Linked DNA regions of Mus musculus: region 1 is reported to be linked to region 2. Evidence: microRNA targets listed by miRTarBase, many of them from high-throughput screens and not tested one by one. Region 2 holds a microRNA gene; the other region holds the end of a gene's coding sequence.

Evidence for each region. Region 2 holds the annotated microRNA mmu-miR-365-3p (UAAUGCCCCUAAAAAUCCUUAU, at 4,378-4,399, shown strand). A microRNA usually pairs through its seed, bases 2 to 8, with sites in the 3' UTR of a target mRNA and lowers its output. Matches are read on the target gene's strand: a 7mer-m8 pairs with bases 2 to 8, a 7mer-A1 pairs with bases 2 to 7 and ends in A, and an 8mer does both.
Region 1: the mRNA of Kcnh2 is a reported target of mmu-miR-365-3p. Seed matches in the 3' UTR shown: 8mer at 5,901-5,908 and 8mer at 6,079-6,086.

The regions. Positions count from the first base shown.
Region 1 is chr5:24,314,111-24,325,858 of GRCm38, reverse strand. Kcnh2 (potassium voltage-gated channel, subfamily H (eag-related), member 2) reads left to right here. Exons shown (of 15, transcript NM_013569.2): 7 at 1-365; 8 at 704-903; 9 at 1,274-1,526; 10 at 2,595-2,788; 11 at 3,105-3,204; 12 at 3,638-3,913; 13 at 4,037-4,223; 14 at 4,437-4,614; 15 at 5,710-6,270. The coding sequence ends at 5,859. It overlaps Gm15589 (a long non-coding RNA gene), which reads right to left. Exons shown (of 4, transcript XR_003955875.1): 2 at 6,841-6,917. Among named protein-coding and RNA genes, the nearest start is that of Gm15589, 8.6 kb to the right of the region's middle.
Region 2 is chr16:13,449,518-13,461,265 of GRCm38, forward strand. It overlaps Mir365-1 (microRNA 365-1), which reads left to right and starts at 4,323; the gene lies at 4,323-4,409. All of the region lies in intron 1 of Gm32817 (predicted gene, 32817), which reads left to right. Gm53058 (predicted gene, 53058) reads left to right here. Exons shown (of 5, transcript NR_169187.1): 2 at 9,445-9,504; 3 at 10,257-10,330. It overlaps Mir193b (microRNA 193b), which reads left to right and starts at 6; the gene lies at 6-84.

The DNA.
Region 1 (11,748 bases), not on the chromosome of region 2:
GAGGCTGCTGCGGCTGGTGCGCGTGGCTCGGAAGCTGGACCGCTACTCGGAGTACGGGGCAGCAGTGCTCTTCCTGCTCATGTGCACCTTCGCCCTCATTGCGCACTGGTTGGCCTGCATCTGGTACGCGATCGGCAACATGGAACAGCCTCACATGGACTCACACATCGGCTGGCTGCACAACTTGGGCGACCAGATCGGCAAGCCCTACAACAGCAGCGGCCTGGGAGGCCCCTCCATCAAGGACAAGTATGTCACAGCGCTCTACTTCACCTTCAGCAGCCTCACCAGCGTGGGCTTTGGCAATGTCTCTCCCAACACCAACTCAGAGAAGATCTTCTCCATCTGTGTCATGCTCATTGGCTGTGAGTGCGTCCTGGAGGCGGGTGAGGGGTGGAGCCATGGCTGGATAGAAATGGTAGTGAAAGTCCTAGGATGGAGCAAAGTGGCAGTCGGACCTCCCCGCCCCGCCCCCTCGTCCCTTCCTAGAGTCCTGGGCTCACAGTTGAGTTTGGAGGCTGGGACACCAGGGCAGGAAATGGTGAAGGTTGGCGTGTGTTTGAGCATGTGTATGTCCACTCTCAGACTGAGTCGTGACCGGACCGCGAGTGTCGTTGACCTGGTGCGGGGCCTGAGCAGAGGGTCCCCGTGGGCGGGCGGGGTCCCTGCGGATGCTGACGGCCCCACTCACCCACGCCCCCAGCCCTCATGTATGCCAGCATCTTCGGCAACGTGTCCGCCATCATCCAGCGGCTGTACTCGGGCACGGCCCGCTACCACACACAGATGCTCCGGGTGCGGGAGTTTATCCGCTTTCACCAGATTCCCAACCCATTACGCCAGCGCCTCGAGGAGTACTTCCAGCATGCTTGGTCCTACACCAATGGCATCGACATGAACGCGGTGAGGCATTAATGAGTGTGGGGCCACCCTTGTGGTGCATCCAGCATATCTCAGGTGGTTGTAGTTAGTATTAAATTATTAAACCTGAGGATTACATAGGATTCTGACCGTGAAACTCCATCTGGCGTTCTCCCACTGGGAGAGGCCAGGTTCTTCACACATCCCATGTAAGACAGATGGACATGGGAAATCAATTGCTGCACTTCCGGATGAGAACTTGGTCAGGGTGGGTGCCCAGGTGCTGAGGGGGTTCTGGGCCCCCACAGGTTCTGCAGCAGACAGAATTGGGAGGAGCAGGTTTCCCCTGAGCCAGAGGTGTGACCCAGTGGACTGAGACTTGAGAGATCATACTGACCCATCCCCATTGCAGGTGCTGAAGGGCTTCCCTGAGTGCCTCCAGGCTGACATCTGCCTACACCTGAACCGCTCGCTGCTGCAGCATTGCAAGCCATTCCGAGGGGCCACTAAAGGCTGCCTGAGGGCGCTGGCTATGAAGTTCAAGACCACACATGCACCACCAGGGGACACACTAGTGCACGCCGGGGACCTGCTTACTGCCCTCTACTTCATCTCCAGGGGCTCCATCGAGATCCTGCGGGGTGATGTCGTGGTGGCCATCTTGGGTATGGGGTGGGGACGCCCACTGAAACCCAGAGAGACCTGAGCCCTCTGAATACACTGGGGTGTGGGGTGGCTGGCAGGATTCTTGTGTTCTTTTGTCACCCGAGGAGGGGCCTTCAGGGTGGGCAACAGAGAGGAACCCTGTAGGACACGGGGCTCTTAGATTGGGAGACTATGTAGCCTTCCCTGCACTTGAGGGAACTTCAGGATCTATCCATAGAAAGGCATCTAGTGTTTCCTTAAAGTTGAATATTGTCTTGTAGTTGAGTGGGACATTCTCATCTGGAGGCTATGCATCCACCTTCACTAAGGACACAGTTCCCTGAAGCTTCATGTCCCAATGGCCTGTGGCCATTGTGTGCATGGATGGCACTTGGACAGTGGAGGCTTCTTGCCCTCCCATGGTTGTTTTTTGTTTTTTGTTTTTTGTTTCTTGTTTCTTGTTTCTTGTTTTTGTTTTTTGTTTCTTGCATCAAACTTTTGCCCATGGCTTATAGACGTGCCCATTTTAGACTTTTATTTCACAGTTCAGCCCAAACATGTATACCACTCCACAATTTATTCCCTTCCCAGCGAAATCAAGTTTTCCTACACACGTGAGCACATTTTGGTCTTTTCTGTGCTTCGCTGTGCTAAGCTATGCTATCCTGAAATTTCTTTCAGTAAAACAGTACTGGTTCTGATTGACCACAAGCTGCCTTTTATAGTCTTAAGACCATAGTTTATAGGGAACTGTACTTTGTTAGGAGGGTATCTGAGGATAGAAGTAGAGTTGTCCCAAGGAAACCACCACTGCTGTAGGCAGAGCTGGAGCATCCTTGGCGGTTTCTAGCTGAGTAGTTGCTGAGAGACTCCAAATCTCTGGTCCTTCCCTCTGCCACCTCTGGCCACTGGTGTTTCCCCATCTGCTGAGAGCCCTGAGCATGTGAACTGGCTCAAGCTGCCTTGGCTGTGTGGCTGGGAGTTGGATGACTGGAGATGCTGTGCAGGGTGGAGCTGACCCAGAGGGTGCCCGCTCTTCTCCCACCGATGCCATGGGCTCAAGCCTTTGTCTTCTGCACGGCCTCCAGGGAAGAACGACATCTTTGGAGAGCCTCTGAACCTATATGCCCGTCCTGGAAAGTCCAATGGGGATGTGCGGGCCCTCACGTACTGTGACCTGCACAAGATCCATCGTGATGACTTGCTGGAGGTGTTGGACATGTATCCCGAGTTCTCAGATCACTTTTGGTCTAGCCTGGAGATCACCTTCAACCTTCGAGATGTGAGTGGGCCATCTCAAGAGCTGCCTTTATCCCCAAGAGAGCTGATGATTGACAGGCTGCCCCTTCCCTGTGACTGTGGAAAACAGCTTCTTTGCCTGCTTTTCTGTCTTTTTACAGTCAGATCAGGCTATGGAAGTACCAACCTCAGGGTGTTGGGGGAAAGTGACACAGGGTGGGATGGGGGTAGGGAAAATTCTTCCCCACAGCCCCACCTCCCTAGGTTAAGGAAGGGGTGCAGTTGCCTGCCCCACCCCCATATTCCAGGACAGCCAGGCAGGATGGACCTAAGGGCTCTGACTGTTCTCTTCGTTGCAGACCAACATGATTCCTGGCTCCCCAGGCAGTGCAGAACTAGAGAGCGGCTTTAACAGGCAACGCAAGCGCAAACTGTCATTCCGCAGGCGTACAGACAAGGGTGAGATGGTCAAGGGGAGGGCAGGAGGAGAGTGGAGGGCAGAGGGGAGTGCGGGCAGGGTCAGGCTGTGCAGGCTCCACCCCTTGCCCAGCGTTCAGGCACGCAGTCCTCCAGTGCACCCCACCCCCATGCCTCCCTTCCACTGGACAAAGGCTGGGCTTTTGGTCTTTATTATGCCTGAGTGTTGTCTAGCGGGCCTTGACCCCTTAAAGAGAGGAGGGAGGTGGCAGGAGGGAGCACAAGAACAAAGGAATAAGCAGAGGGCTACAGAGAGCCAGAGATCTGGAGTCAGAAGTGACCCCCCCCCCCCGGGGTGTGGCAGGGCGCGAGATAAAACAACTTTGTCCGTCCTCACACTCTGCCCCTTGCTCAGCTCCCCTTGCCCGTCCCCTGTTCTCCCCTCTCTCTGAGGTATGCTCTCTGTTTCCCACAGACACAGAGCAGCCAGGGGAGGTGTCAGCCCTGGGGCAAGGCCCTGCCCGAGTTGGGCCAGGGCCGAGTTGCCGGGGACAGCCGGGAGGGCCATGGGGGGAGAGCCCATCCAGCGGCCCTTCCAGCCCAGAGAGCAGTGAAGATGAGGGCCCTGGTCGCAGCTCCAGTCCCCTCCGCCTGGTGCCCTTCTCCAGCCCCAGGCCTCCGGGAGACCCCCCAGGTGGGGAGCCTTTGACAGAGGATGGGGAGAAAAGTGACACCTGTAATCCCTTGTCAGGTAGGCCTGGGCCTTGGGGTGGGGGTGGGAGTGAGTGAGTGTGGGGGATGGGCAGTATGGGGGATGGGTAGGGACTGGCAGGGGCCTGACTTTCTTCCTGACCCCACTCCTCTCTGGCTCCAGGTGCCTTCTCTGGGGTGTCCAATATTTTCAGCTTCTGGGGGGACAGTCGGGGGCGCCAGTACCAGGAGTTGCCTCGATGCCCTGCCCCTGCCCCCAGCCTCCTCAACATCCCCTTGTCTAGCCCTGGTCGGCGATCCCGGGGTGATGTGGAGAGCAGGCTGGACGCACTCCAGAGACAGCTGAACAGGTAAAGATGGGTGCCCAGGGAATGGGCACGGGGTAGGCTGCACTGTGGGGGAACTTGGGGCCTCTTTGGGTTTCTGCTGATGTTTCAGGGGTGCTCTGTCTAGGACTGTCTGTGCCAGGCAGGTGGACCCTCTCCTTCCTCAGCTGCATGAGGAGGGAGCCTAGAGTGAACCAGCTATCTCCACTTCTGAGAAATCTTCCTTCCTTGCCCCAGGCTGGAAACCCGGCTAAGTGCAGACATGGCCACTGTCCTACAGCTGCTACAGAGGCAAATGACCCTGGTCCCTCCTGCCTACAGTGCTGTGACCACCCCTGGGCCCGGCCCCACTTCCGCATCCCCTTTGTTGCCTGTCGGCCCTGTCCCCACTCTCACCCTGGACTCGCTTTCTCAGGTACATTCTAGAGCCCACTCCCAGCCTCCAGCCGCACCCTCTCTGCCCCAACGACTGCACAGCTGCTGGGTGTGAAATGTGGCTTCCTCACCCCCATCCTCTTCTACCTGCTCCTGCCAGGCAACCTAAGGGCCAGATGTAAACATGATGTCTGAGCCTGGGCCTTGGGTCTGGATGCTGCCTGAGAGTGGTCCCTGCTGTGGTTATCCCCCTCTGACTTTGCCGCCTCTCATCTTGGCTCTTACTCTAGCAGTGCTATAGCCTCCTGAAGGCTGCTGGCATGTCCAGGGTGCCAAGATCAAGGCTCTGAGATAGGACCTCCCTGATCCACATCTCTTCTCTTTGAGTAACCTCCTGAAGGACAGCTGTAGCTGGGTCTTTTCTGCCAGCTCTAGCTTTGATAGGTGCTTGAAGGGGGTGGGGGTGGGGGCTCCTATGGCACCCAGAGGTGGCTTGGGATCTACTCCCACCCCCAGCTCTGCTCCCTGTCCCATATGCTGCTTGCTCCTGTTTGCAGACACCAGGGCCCACGTCAGCAAATGTGCCAGTCTCCCTTCACAGCCTCCCCCGCAGGGATCTCACCAGTAGACACGTCAGCACCCACAAATCCCTCCTGCCCGCCCTAGCGCTCTCCCTGGCCTCAGAGACCTGGCCGCTGGCCCACTGTTGTTTCCAGGGCCCCAGGGTTCTTTGGAAAATTGCAAGGAGGCACCTTGTCTCTCTCTGTCTTAGCTGCCTTCCCAAAGCAGGGACTTCTTATTCCATGTAGGCTTTGCTCCCGCTGCCCTGGCACATTCCCTAGGGAAGGGAGAGGCTAGAGCTTGGAATCCAGCTTCTCCGGGTCCAGAGCAAGGTCCTCTGTCAGGGTGGCTGTGAGTGGCTCTCAGCCCTTTCATTTGGCTCCTGCCACAAAGGTGCATTTCTTTACAGAAGTTGCAGCCTTCTTGTCCCCTCAGGTCCCCACTCTGCCCACCTAAGCCTCTCTGACCTCCAGTCTCCGCCCCTTCCTCCTCCCCCACGTTTCTGACCTCCGGTCTCCGCCCCTTCCTCCTCCCCCACGTTTGAGTGCCTTCTCAAGCTCTGTGGTCTTTGCAGGTTTCCCAGTTCGTGGCGTTTGAGGAGCTTCCTGCAGGAGCCCCAGAGCTCCCCCAAGATGGCCCCACTCGACGCCTCTCCCTGCCCGGCCAGCTGGGGGCCCTTACCTCCCAGCCCCTGCACAGACATGGCTCAGATCCAGGCAGTTAGTGATGCTGCCCACTGTGGACATGTGGCTCACCCTGGGTTCAGGGCATTACCTGACCGCTCTCCTTGGAGACCCTGGTTTGGAGGGGAGACCTGTGCAGAAGCACCTCCATCCCCACCCTTGGGACCAGCATCTCCTCCTGCAATACCCTGGGCCCCACTGGGAGGGGCAGGACAGAGCTGGGCAGTGGATGGGGGTCTGTGGTCCCCCCACTGCCCTGGGGGCATTAGCTGGTCTAACTGCCCGGAGGCACCGGCCCTGGGCCTTAGGCACCTCAAGGACTTTTCTGCTATTTACTGCTCTTATTGTTAAGGATAATAATTAAGGATCATATGAATAATTAATGAAGATGCTGATGACTATGAATAATAAATAATTATCCTGAGGAGACTCCAGGGTGCTGGTTAGCTTCAGCCATCACCTGCTGTATCTCATGTTTATGTTCTAAACGTACTTAAGTGGCAGTGCCAGAGCCTCTGTACAGGGATCCTGGCCTCTCTATGTCCAGGCCTACAGGGGTGACCAGATATCCTTCCCCTTTTCTGTGTGTGTGTTTGTGTGTGTGTGCGCGCACACATGTGCGGGCACATGCCTTCTCATATACCCATGTACCCATGTACATAAAAGATGGAGAGTGTTTCCTGGAGCCAGACAATATGGTCCTGGATTTGGGACAACCAAGCCATGTGGGCTACTTTGAGTCTGATAGGCTACTTGTACCCTGAGTGCAACCCTTCACAATCATGCTGATTTACTTCCTGGGCACTGGTCCTAAGTCAGCCCTACATGGTAAAACCACACACTTGTCCCTCTCAAATAGTTCACAAGTCCGGCATCACACCCACCTGGGTTCTCTTTGGTCAGAGTTCAGCTTCCCTACCCCTCATTGGCTTTAGGTTGACCTTGTATAGTTGGGTCTCACATGGGTCTGGCTTCCCCACTGTGACCAGCACATACCTGTGTCTAGCTCCAGGTGATCTTACCTTGATTACCTTGGTCCCTTGTGACTGTTGGCCACAGAGGAGCTGCTGAGAAGATGGAGGTTGCAAGGTGGCTCATTCTGTTGGAAGTAAGTCAAGCATATATCTTGAGGATAGTGACGATTCCCCTTGCTTATGTGTGCAGGTTTGTGTGCACTTGTGTTGTTGGACTTGTGAACACACCCTGCAGAGATGATGCCTGCATGTGCCAGGCAAAGGCAGCGGTGAGTTTTGCTATAAGGCTGGCTTATAGGTGACAGTGCTGCCAGAGGCTGCCCAGACTGGTCCTCAAGATCCCTCTCCTCCTCTGTCCCTTTGAGATGAGTATGCTAACTTTGAAGATAAGCATGGTAGAGCAGCCTAGAGACTCTCCCAGCACCCAGTCAGGAAGAAGGGAGGGACGTCTCACCTGGACCAGAGCCTGGTGATACTGGAAGAGATAAAAGGAAGAGACTTAGGATTTCCAGGTTGAGGCTGAGTGGCAGGCAGCAGTGGAGTGGCTCTGCTTCTCACTTGGTCCCTCTCTACCTGACATGTCACACCTTGTCAATTATCCATCTGTCTATTAAGTACATATATGTACACACGCACATACACGCACACATCAGGCTGCTCACAACAATCTGTAACTCCACTTCCAGGTGGTCTGATGACCTCTTCTGACTTCTGTAGGCCCCAGGCATGCATGTGCTACACAGACATACATGCAAGCACTTAAATAGATACATAAAGTAAAAACAAAATAAATGTTAAAGAAAAATAAGGTATGGCTTCTGAGAACAGCGTTGTCTACACATGTATGGTACCTCCTGGCAAACTCTTCTCTTAAAAAAAGTTATACTCTGTGTGTGTGTGTACCATAGTGATGTGTGATCAGAGGCTAACTTGTAGAAGTCAGTTCTCTCCTACCAGCTGGATCCCAGGAACTGAACTTAGGCGAGCAGGCTTGGCTGTAAGTGCCTTTTTCTGCTTAACTAATAGGTTTCTATAATACATTTTTAATTTTTAATTATTCTTTATTATTATTCTTTCATACATTATAATATATTTCAATCACAGTTTCCCCTCTTCCCACTCCTCCCCATTCCTTCCCCTCTCCCCCAGATTCACTTCTCCTCTGTTTCCCTTCAGAAAAGAGCAGGCCTCCCAGGGTTATCAACTGAACACGGTATAACAGGTTATGCTAAGACTCATATCAAGGCTGGACAAGGCAACCCAGAAAGAGGAAGAGGGTCTGAGGAGCACGAGAAATAGTTAGAGACATTCCTACTCCACTGTTAGGAGTCCTCCGAGAACACTGAGCTACACCACCATGATATATATGCAGAGGGCCTAGCACAGTCCCAGGCAGACTCAGTGAGACACTATGGTTCCTGCTTAGCTGACTCTGTGGTCTGTGTCCTCCTGGTGTCTTTGACCCTTCTGTGTTTTATTTATGTGTCAGCAGATCCCATAGAGCTATAGTTGACAGTCATGGCTCAGGTGCCGGGAACCAAACTGTGTTCCTCTGGAAGAGCAGGAAGCACCCTTTCCTGTTGACCCATCCCACCGACCTCCACATTGCTTTTCCATGCAGCTCTTATTTCAGTTGATTCCTGCCCTCATGGCCTTGTCTCCCTCCTCTCTAAACGCCCCTTTATACTACTTATATAACTTGGTTTTTTTTGATACTTTGTGGGTTCCTTTTTCTTACACCCCTTCCATCCCTTTTTTCTATCCTTTAGCCTACCTAACACTAGATAGAGGAAAAAGGATGGAGGGGAAAGGAGGTGACTACTTCCTGCTGATTAGGGCATTCAAGTTTCTCGAGACAAGTTTGATCTCTGTTGTCAGGATATCTAATTTCTTTTGCTTTGCACACAACTACTTAACAAACTATGACCAACAATGACCAACAACCAACCTTGCCCCTTGGGTCCATAGCATTTCATACTCTCTCAAAAGTCCCCAGACAGAATTCAAGTGTCACACAATCACAGAAATTATCTGCAGCTGGCAAGATCATACCCCTGCCAGAGCACGAGGCAAATCATAGTCAGCTCTTGTGGACAATCTGAAGCACCTCATATCCCACACCTGGGATTAAAATGAAAACATTTTTATAATTCTTCAGTGTTTTTTTTTTTTAAAGAAACCAAAATTTTCACTACATTTCCCCTTTCTTTTTTAAGCCATTAAGTGTGCTGTGTGTTTCAGGAAATCATAAACAGAGACATTTTCAATGAAATAAGCACTTTCATATCAGCGGCCAAGGTTTTCAGGAGACCTTTCCTGCTCAATTCTAATCTTTATCAGTTTTGATGGTATCCACAGCTTTTTATTTCCTATGGAAATAAGAACAATCCACATCCCCAATGCAAAACTTTTACAGGCTTCCATTCTGATGTTAACACATCCTCATGTATATAGGATGATTTAATTCCACAGTTTTTTGTTTTTAACCTGGTGACTCTCAGCTGCTCCTGTCAGAAATGGCCCATAATTTCTGTGGGACCTCAAACCAGGCTCTCAAAGTCGTTTCCTGATGGTAAGAAATTGCTTTGGGTCTCTCTTGGACCAACACTCATTGGCTCAATGGCAACCCTTGCCACATCGCCTGCATACCCAGGGAAGCCTGGGTTTGTTTGAGATTTAGGAAAAAACATTACCCCTGGAGATGCCTTTCACATTCCCTGCACAAAGTATTGTATTTAATGCACCAGCACTTTGAGATCTGAGACCTCTAGAGGCTTGTAGCTTTGCAAACGACCAAATTTCCCACAACTGAAGCATTGGGCATTTTGATAATGGAGACCCCCCTAGCTATAGCTTGACCTATGACATTAGCATAGTGCACATTAGAACCAATATTGGTCATAACCCTTTTCCATTCGTCCACGGGCTCTGTTTGAACCTTTAATGTTCTAATAACTTGTTTATATACAACTACTTAACTATGACCAACAATGACCAACAACCTGCCCCTTGGGTCCACAGCATTTACATACTCTCTCAAAAGTCCTCAGAATTCAAGTGTCACACAATCACAGAAACTATCAACCACCAAGGTCTCTATCAACACCTGCCTTGAATCAGGGTCTGATATGACTTTGTTCACAGCTGAGACTAATCTTTGTAAAAAAATTAGTGAAGTCTTCTCCAGAGCCTTCTATAGTCTTTGCAAATGAAGTGGCCTTTTCTCTGCTTCCTCAACTTTGTCCCAAGCTCTTGCAGCTGCTAAGCAGCTTTGTTCTGTAGTAGTTTCATCAAATTGAACCTGTTCATGTATATCAGAGCACTACCCTCCACTCAGCAGCTGATCTGTTATACTCATCCTCTCGCTTTACTTCCCTGTTTAATATTCCAAGCTTCTCTCCACCATGTCAATTCCAGTATTGGAGAATTGTGGGGCAGTGACACAGGCAGCCTGGTTCCTGGTCTAGCACAGGCCTGGAACCCCGGAGACTTGGTGGACCGTGACTTCTGCTTTCATGGGACAGTAGAAGTTCGGCCACGCCTCCTGGGCCCCTGATTCCTGTCTAGCCACAGCCTTCCACAGGTCCCTGCACAGAGGTGTGTGGCCATCAGTCACTTAGGCAATGCCCCAAGCTCCTGCTATTCTGTCTGGACTCCACCCCCACAGTTACCTGGCAACAGTCAGGTAGGCCAGTCCACTATAAAAGGAGCTGCTTGCCCCCTCCTTGCTCTCTTAATCTCTTACCTCTTTTTTTTTTTTTTTAAAGATTTATTTATTGACTATATGTAAGTACACTGTAGCTGTCTTCAGACACTCCAGAAGAGGGAGTCAGATCTCGTTACGGATGGTTGTGAGCCACCATGTGGTTGCTGGGATTTGAACTCTGGACCTTCGGAAGAGCAGTCGGGTGCTCTTACCCACTGAGCCATCTCTTACCTCTTATTCTCTTTTCTTACTCTTGCTCCCTTGCTCCCCCTCTCTCCACCTTCCCTTTCCCCCTCTCTCCACGTGGCCATGGCCGCCCTCTGTTTCTCTACCCTCTCCCTCTCTCTGCCTTTCTACAATAAATGCCTTAAAACCATGAACCGTCTCTGCTCATTGAAGCCACCAACCCAAGCTGCCTACAGAGCTAGCCACCTGAGCTGTCCAGACTCTCTCCTCCCCCCGCGGTAACCTGCCAGAGCTCTCCCCCTACTCTTTTTCCTTCAGCCCCTGAGCCAGAGTACGCCTGAGGGTCCTCACCTATTCTCTGCTCTTCCATGACATACAGGTAAGTCTGGGATGTCCGAGAGTGAGAAACTGTCGTCCCTGGCCTCCGTGTGGCCCAGGGACCCCAGAATCCGCTCTCCCGTGGTGCCTAGGGGGTGTCTGTGGTGCCCAAGAGTCGGAGCCCAAGTCCAGAAGTTCTGTGAGGACCCCAGACTGTGCTCTTCTTCACCCCCTAGTGGGATCCCACAGCTTCTCACAGTCAAACGCCCACGGGGCGCCTGGCTCCTGGAGGCCTGGGGCCCACGCAGTCAAACTCCCCGAGTCGTCCTCGTCCAGCGGCCCTAACCCGGAGTGGATGTGGGACCCCATTTTTGCCCCACGGGGAATAATTCTATTTTGAGTAGCCCAGTTATTTAGAATTTGTCTCACATAAGGTGAGTGCATCCCATATGAAATCATAGCCTCTTTAAAATGTCTTAGATCAGTTCTATCTATAGGAAGACATCCTATCTCATCATAACCGTGTTCCACACCCTGTTAGTAAGCACATGCAGTATGACTACTGGGAAAGCTTACAGTGGTTTTACCCCAAGCCGCCCCTGCTCTAACTCTGCTGGGTTAGTTGGTTGAGATTAACCCTTTCTTTCGAAATGCACTGTTTCATCAGTCTGTCCTCCCACCTTATCAGCCTTTCTCTGACCCACCTGCCGTCTGGCACAGTCTCTCTCCCTTTTTCCTCATGTGGG
Region 2 (11,748 bases):
CGGTGGGCCCAGAATCGGGGTTTTGAGGGCGAGATGAGTTTGTGTTTTATCCAACTGGCCCACAAAGTCCCGCTTTTGGGGTCATCCTAACAGCAAAGGATTCAGGCCTTGGCAGCGCTGGAGGGAGAACAGTGACCCAACACACCCCAGGCTACCGATCTGAAACTAAAACCTTTAGAGGCAAAGGAAAGCTGTCTCATTCCGTCAAAGGGAAGGGGGTTTTGGAGCGGGAGGAGTTGGGAGGGTATTCTTATCTAGCTCCGTGCCAAATTCTCGGAACAAACCTACCGCGGCCCCTCTTCTTGAGAGGCAAAAAGATAGCAGAAGGGGGCAGCTCAGGTTCTACACACATACATCCCCGAAAGGCTTCCTGAGGCCTTTCAGCGAATGAGACCAGAAGGAAACTGTCAACTATGTGTTTCCCAAGGTGGAACCCTTAAACATCACCGAGATCATAAACTGTAATGCTATGCATAGGACTCCAGCTTCCATCTGTCAAAGGAGCAAGCAGCCGGCTCTTTGTTTCCACCTAGACTTAAGGATTTGTAATTCTTTCCTCAGTGTTGTACAAAGCATTGTATAAGAAAGTCTGGACAATGAGTTCAAGAGGCATGCAAGCAAATGCCCCTCTCAGGACATTCAGTCACCTGAATGACAACAGACACACACATTCCATATATGCACCCACACACTCTGGGCCAGCCATTTGCAAACTTGAATTTGAATTTAAGTGTTCACAGCAGGGGATAGAATGCCTCAGGTGACTTTGAACTGAATCCTTGGTACCAGATTGAGTGATTTGCTCTAGGTGGCACATGGACACACAGGTGACATTTGTCCTGCTTTGGCACACAAGAAAAGTTCTTTACTTTCACAGTTCCCTGTTTTCCTTACGCGACACAATGAGCCCACACTAATTCCAGGAGCCCACAGTGGTGCTGCGGCTCACCTGTGGGCGATGGCCACAGGGTGAGCTGTGTTTGTGCTTTGGGGACTCACCACCTTGAACTGGCTGCCAGATCCCTCTACTCTGCTAGATAATGTCACCAAATCAGTCTTTAATGATACTTGGACAAATAGAGTGCTTTCTGTGAATTAACGAGCCCAGAGCACCCGATGACATGCTCAGATCATGAGCTGTCATGGAGCAGAGGAAGCTGAAGGTGAAAATTACGGAACTGTTAAAGTGCAGAAAGTCAAGCTGAATTCAGTGTTAAATGTGAACCAATCCCTGCTTTCAAGGTGAGCATGCCCAAAACACAGGGCAGTGTTTACATTCAGCCCTCTGGGTCCACACATGTAATTATGAATATATTTAGCAAACTCCCCCCCCCCATGCCCTCCCCCCAGCCAGAGTTTACAAGCAGGTAAAGTAGCATGGTGAGATTATAAATCAGTGAGAGGTCACAGTCATGACGTCAGCAAAGCAGCGAGAGTCTTTTCACGTCCTCAGCTGCCACCCGCTTCCCTCCCCTGCCAATAAGAGAAAGAAAAAAAAAATCGACAAGGAACTGTTGAATACTCTGAATACATTTAGGCTTTTCTCCCCTGGCCTGTGTGTGTGAAATCTCATTAAGCAGTTGCTACTTCCCGCCACTCATGTGGGAGTGTGGATTTAGAAAGGGGACAGGGGGAGTAACTTTGAATTCAGTCCTTTGCAATATGTGGTCCGGGGGACATTTTCAATAGAAAATATGTCAATAACTTATAGCTAGGGGTGAGACAGAAGGGACGGGCCCTTCAAAACAAAGTGTAAATGCACACCTCAAGCCAGCAGAAGCTGGACGAGCCCTGCTTCCCAGTCCCCTCGTCTACCCAGAGAAGGACTGGGGTATAATTCTGTGGTGGAGTCTTACCTAGGAAAGGCCCTGGGTTCATCCCTAGCTGTGGAAATCAATAAACAAACAACAACAAGATTTGAGCTAAGTAAACTTAGAGCTCCCGAGGTAATAAATGGCTATTTTAGATATGAAAAAGAAAATTAGGTACAGGAGTCCCCACTTCAGAGCTACTTGTTAGAAAGCACACAGAGAGAAGGCTGTTCAGTAGACTGACTGCTGCTCCTTACCCACGAGTCTAACCTAAAGTCCTTCTTGCTTCTTAGATCTGGCACAAGAAAACAACCCCAGGCAACCCTGCCCCACGGAAGCATGGTTTAAATAAGTGCAGACTTTTCAGGGTCGATGCTGAAGAGAGAGGGATCGGAGGGCAGAGTAGACTCTGGGGTTCCTCAGTTCATTCACTCCGTGCCAGTCCAGACCCCGGGCGCTTTGTGGTCCCTTCCCAAAGCTGCCAGCGTTCTGCTGTGGCCTTCACAGAACCCATAGTTGTAGGGACATGGGCAGGTATTGATACAGTTTCTGCTCTTCCATCATTTTCCTCACAAAGGACCCACAAAGTGCACATTACTGGGTTTCATGTATTGTGGCAGGAAAGGACACCCTGGAAACACAAAGGTCCAGGGAGAGCCACTCTGAGGCCACAGGCACATGCAAGCTCCTTCTGAGGACGGAGCCCAGGCAGGGAGAAAAAGGCACGCTGGTTCAGGGCTGAGAGAGCTGCTGAGTTCTAGTGTGCTGTCAGAGTTTTGAGACATCAGCAAATGGGGCTCTTTTGCTAGAATAATCCATGAGAGCTGTGCCTGGGGCCTGTTGGCATCAGTGCTCAAGACAGCCTGGACCGCTGCCCACTGAGGCCCAGACATGGCCTGATTGCTATGACTAGAGCCCAAATAAGCTCCAAATAGTGGCCTGGGGTCTGCATAGAAGCAGTTTAGTGAGGTGATGTTTGATCCCTCAGGGCGGCCTTCCCAGAGATCCTGCCTGGTGAGCACACATAGGGTTCTAGAAAATCCCAGAGAAGTACTTTTGTAGCCAAGTAGTCCACATAGGGCTAGGATCCTTCAATTTTGGGTGGCTGAGAGGGTGGGGTGCCCTATATCTCATCTCAGCTACCATGGACTTCTTTGCAGATCTCTCCAAAAGCTAGGCAGCCTGCTGCACTCTCAGGAGCTGAGCCTCCTCTACCTAGGCCTGAAGGGGCCAAGCCATGGGCCTAGAAGCAGGGAGACGGTTGCAGGGTATTTGAGGACCTGGAGGGAGGGCCAAGTGAACCAAGAAAAGGAGCAACATCTAAGATGCCTGGATATCATCTGAGTGTGAGGCCTTAGTGTGCATTCTCGCCTAAAGCCTGCAGGGAAGAGGAGTCTGCGGCCTGCTGAGCCTTGGCAGAGACACTGGACCCAGTCCTGACTCAGCCAAACCCCTGGGACTCTCACTGGCCCTGGTAATTGAACTCTAGACCTCCTGATGGCCTTGTGGACTCCTCATTGCATCTCAGCACAGCATCAAAGGATCCAACCAGGGGCTCGTGGGTCAAGCCATATTTAGCCTCAGGTTCGCTCGGAGAATATTTTAGGTGCTGCCTGGAAGGAGAGCTGTGGGCTGAGTTGCTGGCTGTCACATGATAATAATGAAATGGCAGCCTCACTGGCCCAACCCAGACGCCTGGAGGCTGCACCAGAGTTCTAGGGCCACCCGGTCAGTGCCAAGGAACTACTTGTGTGCTGGGGATGTGGTGGGAAGGCTTCTACCCCAGGCTGTAGTGATTAGGGTACTTCCATTCAGCTCAGAGGCTGCCTTAGGCCGGGTCTTCTCTGAGATGGCCTAGTGTGATGTATCACATTACTAAAGACACCCCAGGGCGCCAGCTGACCTGGTGGGCACCTTCATGGAGAAACTGCCAAGGTTGTATGTCTTGGGGACAGCATTGCCTTAAATTCTTTCTTACCCAGACCCCAAGTGAGTATGTGACCCTTCACAGTGACTTTGCCCATCAGCTTTAGACACTCAGTTATCCTTCCCTGAGGCTTCACCCCGTCCTTCGGTCAACCATGGAACTAGCCACTCATCTCAAAGGCAGCTTCTCACTCCCCCACAATGCAGGAGGGAAGGCCCTGATGGATCACTTGTTCTCCCTACTGATCAGTGAGGACCAGGAATGGATAGTTGGTGCTTGGGGAAAGGGGGCCCGGCCCCTGTGCGTGCCTGGCTTTAGGACATTGTTGGCATGATCGAGGCATGATCAAGTCTGGAGCCTGCTGTGGTTCGCTACACTTGGGCTCAGGTATCTGTATGGAAGCTTCCGCCTAGGGACACATGCAGCCAGTTGCTGTACAGATGCTGAGGTTCCTCGGAGACTGTGCCTGGCACCCCCCCCCAAAGGTTCACGTGTCTTGGAGTTTGCTTTAACTTTCTGCATTTGTTTTTTCCTTTTTAGTTTTGGCTCTCTGTGAGCCTTCGGCTCCCGCCAGCTGATTGGTTACCGCAGGGAAAATGAGGGACTTTTGGGGGCAGATGTGTTTCCATTCCGCTATCATAATGCCCCTAAAAATCCTTATTGCTCTTGCAGTATTCCTCGGGGGTCCCCGGGCCAGGAGCTGCCTGCAACTCTGTAAGATAGAGTCCCCTGAACCCTCCGCCCCAGCTGCTCAGGCTCTGGGGTCCATCTCCCTTGCTGTGCTCAAAGCCAGTGGTGAATAAAAAGATGGCACATGAGGCTTCTTGCTAAATGTGCTTTTTGCCCTCCAGAGGTAAAAAGATGGCACTCAAGCCTGGGAAAAAGGCTGGCTACAGCTGCCATCCACCATTGCTGCTTTTGCTGCTGCAGATATAGGGAGGCAAAGAAAGTGAGGGAGAAACAAGAGTTACCAGTTTGACGGCCTCGTCCCTCCAGGGCCTCTAGGATCTTCACTCTGGCAGAGAGTCCTGGGCGGTCCTCCCCTGCCAACTCCCAGAAAAAAAGACACTTTTCCCACTCTCTGCCTCAGTCTCTCATCCTGCCAAGGGGGCGGGGGGAGGGGGGCCTGTGCTCCCTGAACTAGCCTAAGGGTTTCTTGGACGTAGCCAAGGGTGTAATTGGATTAAGGTTGCAAACTTTGACGGTGCTTGAAGGAGCGGGGAGGTCAGTGCCTACAATATTAATTAGCATTAGCACTGATGTTTTCTAATACATGCAAATTCCTCCGAGCCGAGGGTTTAGAAGCCACAACTCAGCTGCAAGCATGAGTTTCTGGAAGCAGCGTGCCTGCTTAACCATACCCTGACTAAGCATTGTCACTACTGGAAGTAACTCCATCTCTCTGAGCCTCACTACCTCTCTACTGGAACCCACGGCTTAGAATAGAAGCATCTCCAAGTCTCCTACGTATCTACCAGGTGATTTTAAATAAATTGTGAATAAAGTTATTAATCATGCTAGTAGGCATTTCTTTGCATGGTAAAGTTTTAGTTATGGCAGCTGACTTGTTTCCATTTAAGGTGGGAATATTTCACATGAATTTAAATTTCTTAAAAGTGAGAGGCTTTCGCTTTTTTCTTTTTCTCACTTTCAACCCCTTTTCTCTTTCTCTCCTTCTCTTTCTCTTTCTTTCTTTCTTTCTTTCTTTCGTCCTTCCTTCCTTCCTTCCTTCCTTCTTTCCTTCCTCCCTCCCTCCCCTTCCTTCCTCCCTCTCCCTTTCATTCCTCCCTCCCTCCCTCCCTTTCTTTCCTTCCTTCCTTCCTTCCTTCCTTCCTTCCTTCCTTCCTTTGAGAGGGTCTCACTTTGTAGCTTTGGTTGGCCTGGACTTTGCTATACAGACCCACAGAGATCAAGATCACCTCTGCCTCCCAAGTGCTGCCACCACACCTGGCTAAAGAGTAGGTTTCTTGAAAGAAAACTATAAAACACCATGCAGAGGCAGAGAGACAGAAACTAACAGGATGGTTTCTAAAGTGCCCTAGGTCAACTTTTAAAATTCCTGGTTCCCACCTGGGAAGGTTGGTGGGGGAAGCTGGAGGGCACAGCTGACATTCATACTCACAGAAACGCCGACTGTGAACCTCCCAGTAAGGTAGAACCACTTCAGGCTCACCATCCCCAGAGGCTGCCCCTTCCTGTCCTTGGTGGACATAACCCAATGACTCCTTCTTGGCTAGGTTCCTTTCCTCAGTTTTCTCTGGGGAATGGAGAGGTTCAAACCTCTAGGACAGGCCACCATAAGTACCCCTGGTTAAGGAGCCATCACACAAGGTCTCATGGACAGGGCACCAGGATAGGCAGGGGCACCATACTTCTCTTGGCCTTGAAGGGCAGCAGTTCAAAAGGCCACAGTGTGTTAGGTTGAGTACCAGCTCCTAGCCAATCCCCCCAGGGCAGTGTAGAGGGAACCAGCAGGCTCCAGTAAGGGGCTGGCTCTAGTTGCACTTTATGCTGTGTCATGGGCTGAGGGTGCCAGAGGGGCTGGCTGGCCAGCTAGGGCAGGTACAGAGGCCAGCAGACAGCTGCCAGCCCTACTGCCAGAGCATAGCCTGCCCCCACTCTACAAGTGTGCCAGGATAGAGCTGGGCCCTAGGGGCATCCCTTAGCATCTCTTTCCACCCACACACTGGGGAGAACTTTTAGGACTTTTTTTTGCTGTAGCCTAAATTGGCCTTGAACTTGCAGAAACTTCTGTTTTTGACTCTGAATTAGTAGCCTACAGCACCATGCCTTGCTACTAAAACTAGTTTTTGTGGCACTTTATCCCTCTGTGTATCTGTCTGTATCTGTGTGCACCTGTCTCTGTGTGTCTCTGCCTCTCTCCCTGACCCCCCCACCTCTACACTGTTTGTTTGTTTGTTTGTTTGTTTGTTTTTAAAGGCAGGGTCTCTAACTGAACCTGGATATCACTCATCATCTGGATTTACTGGCTAGCAGGCTCTAAGGCTTCTCCAGTCTTCACCTCCACAGTACAGGGGTTACAACGATATACCCCGACACCAGACTGCTTTTTTATGGGTTCTGGAGGTGAGCACTTCATCAACTAAGCTATCTCTCCAGCCCTAAGACACACTTTTAAGCCACATGGACTTGAATTTTAGAGGTTGAAACTGGTTCTGAACAGCCCCTCCTTCCCCCACTCCTAACCTCCCTCCTTCTGTCTCTCCCTCTCTTTCCTTGGGCAAATGTCTGCTGAGAGCCCAGTGCTAAGTGTGGAAGTCAATACTGTGTGAGTCACAGACCCTGCTAAAGGTTTCTTGCTTTAAGGGGACAAGATGGACAGAAAGCAGAGGCATGGAGAGCCGGTGTGTGGGCAAACACTCTGTGCTGAGTGCACAGTGTCCCGGTGTCTCAGTAACATGGAAACATGGGCAGCAGCAGGTGTGGTTGACACTCCTGTAATCCCAGAACTCAGAAGGCAGAAACAGGAGGATGGCCTTTGAGTTCAAGGCCAGTCTCCTCTAGGTAGCAAGTTCCAGGCCAGCTGGGACATGGGACACAGCAAGATCCTGTCTCAAACAGAACACACCCAGTAACAACAAAAAAGGAAACAGACACATATTTGATTGTTCTATATATGAATTTGGACTCTTCCAGGGACAAGTTTTATAATCTCTAGCATGTGATAATGCTTTTTGATCCTCAGTTTCCTTATTTGTAAGTACTAGAAAGACAACCATGGGGTGGCAGTGAGAATGGGGTAAGAATGGGCAGTAAGGTGTCCCATGGGAGCCCTGGTTTACAGCATAGTAATGTACGCGGATAAGCACTGGAAGTCAGAATCTTGCTACCCATCAGGCCGATGGCACTAGGGATATTACTAAAGTCTCTCTCTGTGATGGAAGCCTCAGTAGTGGGCCTCAGCAACAGGAGGGTGAGGTGTGGGTGTCACTCCTCTGAGGGTTCCTGGCAGACAAGCTGTTGAAGCCTAGATTTGGGCTGCTTCCAAAGGGCCTGGGTCCACACTTGGGTTGGTCCTGTAGTGTTGCAGTCTTGAACTTAATGATTTTGGAACCAGGGGCTCCACATTTTTATTTTGCAAGTTCTTCTGTCCTGCCGTATTCTGACAGACTTCACTCTTCTGCTATTGGTAGTTTTTCACTTCATCAATCCAGCATTTGGTGGGTTTTGTTGGTTTACTTTTTGAAACTGTCTTTAGACCAGGTTGTCCTAGAACTTATCAAGGCTGGACTTGAACTTCTGGTCCTCTTGCCTGGATCCCCTAACAGGGTACTGGGAGTATAGGCCATAGTGTGGTGGGCCTTAAACTAGGGCATCTCCATTCAAGCTAGGCAAGCATTCTACCAACTAAGTTGTATCCCCAGCTCCCAATCTAGTGTTCTGTAATGGGGTTAAATCTCCCAGGAGAAAAATCCCTTTAGGATTGGCTGCTCACATATATGCCTGTCTGCCTCTCTATCACAGGCAGGGTGGCTGCTGAGGACAGGACAGATTCCTTCTCCACTGAAGCTTGAGACACTAGCATGGAGTAATTAGGATCTCAGTGAGTCATAGGTCATTCTTTTTCCTGACCTGAACCTACCTAAGCACCTGACCCTGTCTAGGGAGGCAGTGTCAGTTCTGGCAGCCTTGCTTGGCTCCTGGAAAGCTCTGTGAGGGTGGAGGCTCAGAGCTCCTGAGATCCTCCTTGCTGTGCCCCGAACTTGCCTCAATACCATCACTGTTCAGGCTCTGTAGCATTCAAAGACAACACAGATTTAAAGGTCTATAGAGTTCTGGGTCTGTGAAGCCTCTCCCAAGGGAAGAACTAAGTATGACTTTAAAACACTTCAATTTCCATTCTGAGTGGATCTGAGACCCAGTGGGAGGCCAGGGTTTCTGGACTGTTAAATATGATGGTGTAAAGAATGAGTCAGTAAAGAATAACTCAGCGTTCCAGAGGCTGAGGCAGGAGGATTGTGGGATCTAGACTAGCCTTGACTATGTAACTCAGTGTATGCCTGTAACCCTAGCACCCTGGAGAAGGATAAAGTGAGATTTTAATAGTTTTATTGAGTGATCCACTTGAAATGGTAACATTCATGTTGAAAGTGTGGCAGTTGGCCTTGGGTATATTCAGTGTCATGTCATGCAGCCATTATCAAAATGAACAACTGAGCCTCCCCATCACCTGTCATTCTGCCCCCACCCTGAGAGGCACAGCTCTACTTCCATGTAGTCTGTAGTCCTTTTATGTGGCACAGTGGTCTGAAAGTACAGCCATGTTGTAGTACCAGGGTGGATTGACTGTCTTCCTTCTCTCCCCTTCCTCCCCATCTTCCATCTTTTCCTTGTTTTTTGTTTGTTTTATTTTGGTTTGGGGGTTTTTCTTTTTTTAAGATAGGCATTCCTGTAGCCAAGGCTAGCTTTGAACACCTCATCCTCCTGCCTGCACTTTCTGAGTTGCCAATGCTATCAGCTTGTACCACACACACACACACCCATCCCCAGCTCAAGACTTCATTCCCTCCTATGCCTGAGTACTGTTCTGTTACAGGGATGGCTGCCTGTTGTGTGTCCATTTGTCAGTTGCTTAGACATGGGGGGTTGTCTCCATTTGTTGCTATCATGAACAATGCAGTTGTGAATGTTCCTGTATGCTTCTGTGTCATTGTACATCTTTGTTCCTCTTGGGAATACTGGTAGGAGTGGAGCTGCTGGATCCTAAGACAATGCCACACTTTCCGTTTTGAAGAACTTCCAAAGGTAGGTCCTATATTGCCTTTTCTGGTTCTGTTTTCTATTAGAGAAAATTCTGTTTTGAGCACCAGGTACCCATGGCCCAGGTGCACCAGTGGCAGGTAGCCTTTAGCTTGTTTCCTCTGTCTCTCTCTCCTCCTTCTGAGGGTGATGCCTCTTTGCCAGTATTTTCTTACTCTTCTTTTTTAATTTGCTATGTGTGTGTGTGTGTATGTATGTATGTATGTATGAATGTATGTATGTATGTATGTATGTATGTATGTATGTATGTATATGATGTGCCAATGGATGCCAGGATACAGAATTTCCCCAGAGCTAGAGTAACAGGCATTTGTAAGCTGCTCAATGTGGGTGCTGGGATCTGAACTCCGCTCGTGATAGGGCAGTGAACACACAATCACTGAGTGATCTCTCCAGCCTCTCTTTCATGTTTGTGAATGTGTGCACAGTGTATAAGTGCAGCCCGAGGAGAGCGTTACATGTGGGTCATCCTGTGCCTTTCACATCTCCTTTAAGAGACTTCACTGGCCTGGAACTTGACCACACCAGGGCAGGCTAACTGGTCTGAGAGTTTTCGGAGACCCACCCACCTGTCTGTGCCTCCCATCTTAGCATTGTGGGATTACAGGTGCACTGCCATGCTCAGCTTTTTACAAAGATCATAGTATTTGAATTCAGGACATCATGCTTGTAAGGCATAATCTTTACTGACAGCCACCTCTCCATCTCTAACATCTTAACATTTTCTTTTGTCTCAGACTTTCAGTAGGTGGAATGTGGAGAGAGTCAGAAGAGCTGAACAGAATCTGGAGCCTGCTCCAATGCAGCCTTGGTGAGGAGAGAGCCCTGGGTGAAGCTAAACCAGCTGTGTAGCTCACAGGATTCGGGATGAGACCAGACTTTTTCAACCAGGCAGTGGTGGCGCACGCCTTTAATCCCAACACTAGGGAGGCAGAGGCAGATAGATCTCTGAGTTTGAGGCCAGCCTGGTGCACAGAGTGGATTCCAGGACAACCAGGGCTACATAGAGAAACCCTGTCTTAAAAAAACAAAACAAAACAAAACAGCCCAACAATAACAAAAAAGAGCCCCTTTTCCAAAGGTGGCATCTGAGTTGCAATAACAGAGCCAGCAAGAGCCCCGTGTGTCTGCACAGCATGTCAGCAGAACAAAAAGATGCAGCAGATGCAAGAATTTAAAACCATGGATACCCAGGAGACACATAAGCAAGCCTTGCTCCACCCCTGGAGTGGTTCCAAGGACAGTTGGGTGTCTCCTGGCCTGGAGGTCAAGATCCAAACCCATATCATTTGAATCTCCTAAAATAAGATGACCCCATCCAACCTGGAGACTATAAGCACTTAAAAAATAATCATTTGTCTGAGGCCTCTCCTAAGAACCACAGTTGTTTTATCTGGCCACAACATTTAGTTCTAGCTTCTGAGTGGGTGGCAGGGCTGCAGTCTTAGGAACAGAGGTGCACAGGGAGCAGACTACGGCAGGTCTGGGGTGCCCAATAGAAGCAGGTGACTGTGGTGGACATGGGCAGCCAAGTACAATCTAGCTCAGAACAAAAGATCGCATGATCTTTCTCAAGGGCCAGCCACTGCCACCCCACACTCCTCACTTTTCTCACGTACATGGAAATGGGCACATTGCTTGGCACAGGTATTGTAGGGTAGACCCAAGAAGTGGAATTTCTTTGTCAGAGGATCTATGCGTTTTTAAGTTCTGCCCTTCAGAAAGGGTGTGTGACTCACATGCCCCTCCATGATGGACATATAAAGGTCCCTGTTTCTGGCAGCCTTTCCCTCCTGCATAGATGTAATATTCTTAGGAGGTAAGTAGACTCTAAGAGTGGGCCTGGGTGGCTGGGTGGTCATGGCTGCTAAGGGGATCCATGTGGCTTTCTGAGGAGACCAGCCACTCAGCAGTCTTAGGAGTTTAGGTTATGTAAACAAAGGCAGAGTTGGAGGAGAGCCAGAAAATTATTCCAGTGAGTGGCATTGTGCCAGCCAGTATTTATTTCTTTAGCGTGGTTACGACTTAAATATGGTCAAAACATATTCTTCTTTTTAATTTTACACAAACAAATATGTTACCAGGCTGACACCTCTGATGCCAAGTTTCTAAGGGAAACAAAATTCTACTACAAACCAGTTAAGCAGCAAAGAGCCAGTGAGGATGGAGCACTACAGAGAGGAGGGTGGAGCATCACAGAGAGGAAGGTGGCCCCACCTAGCCTGTGCT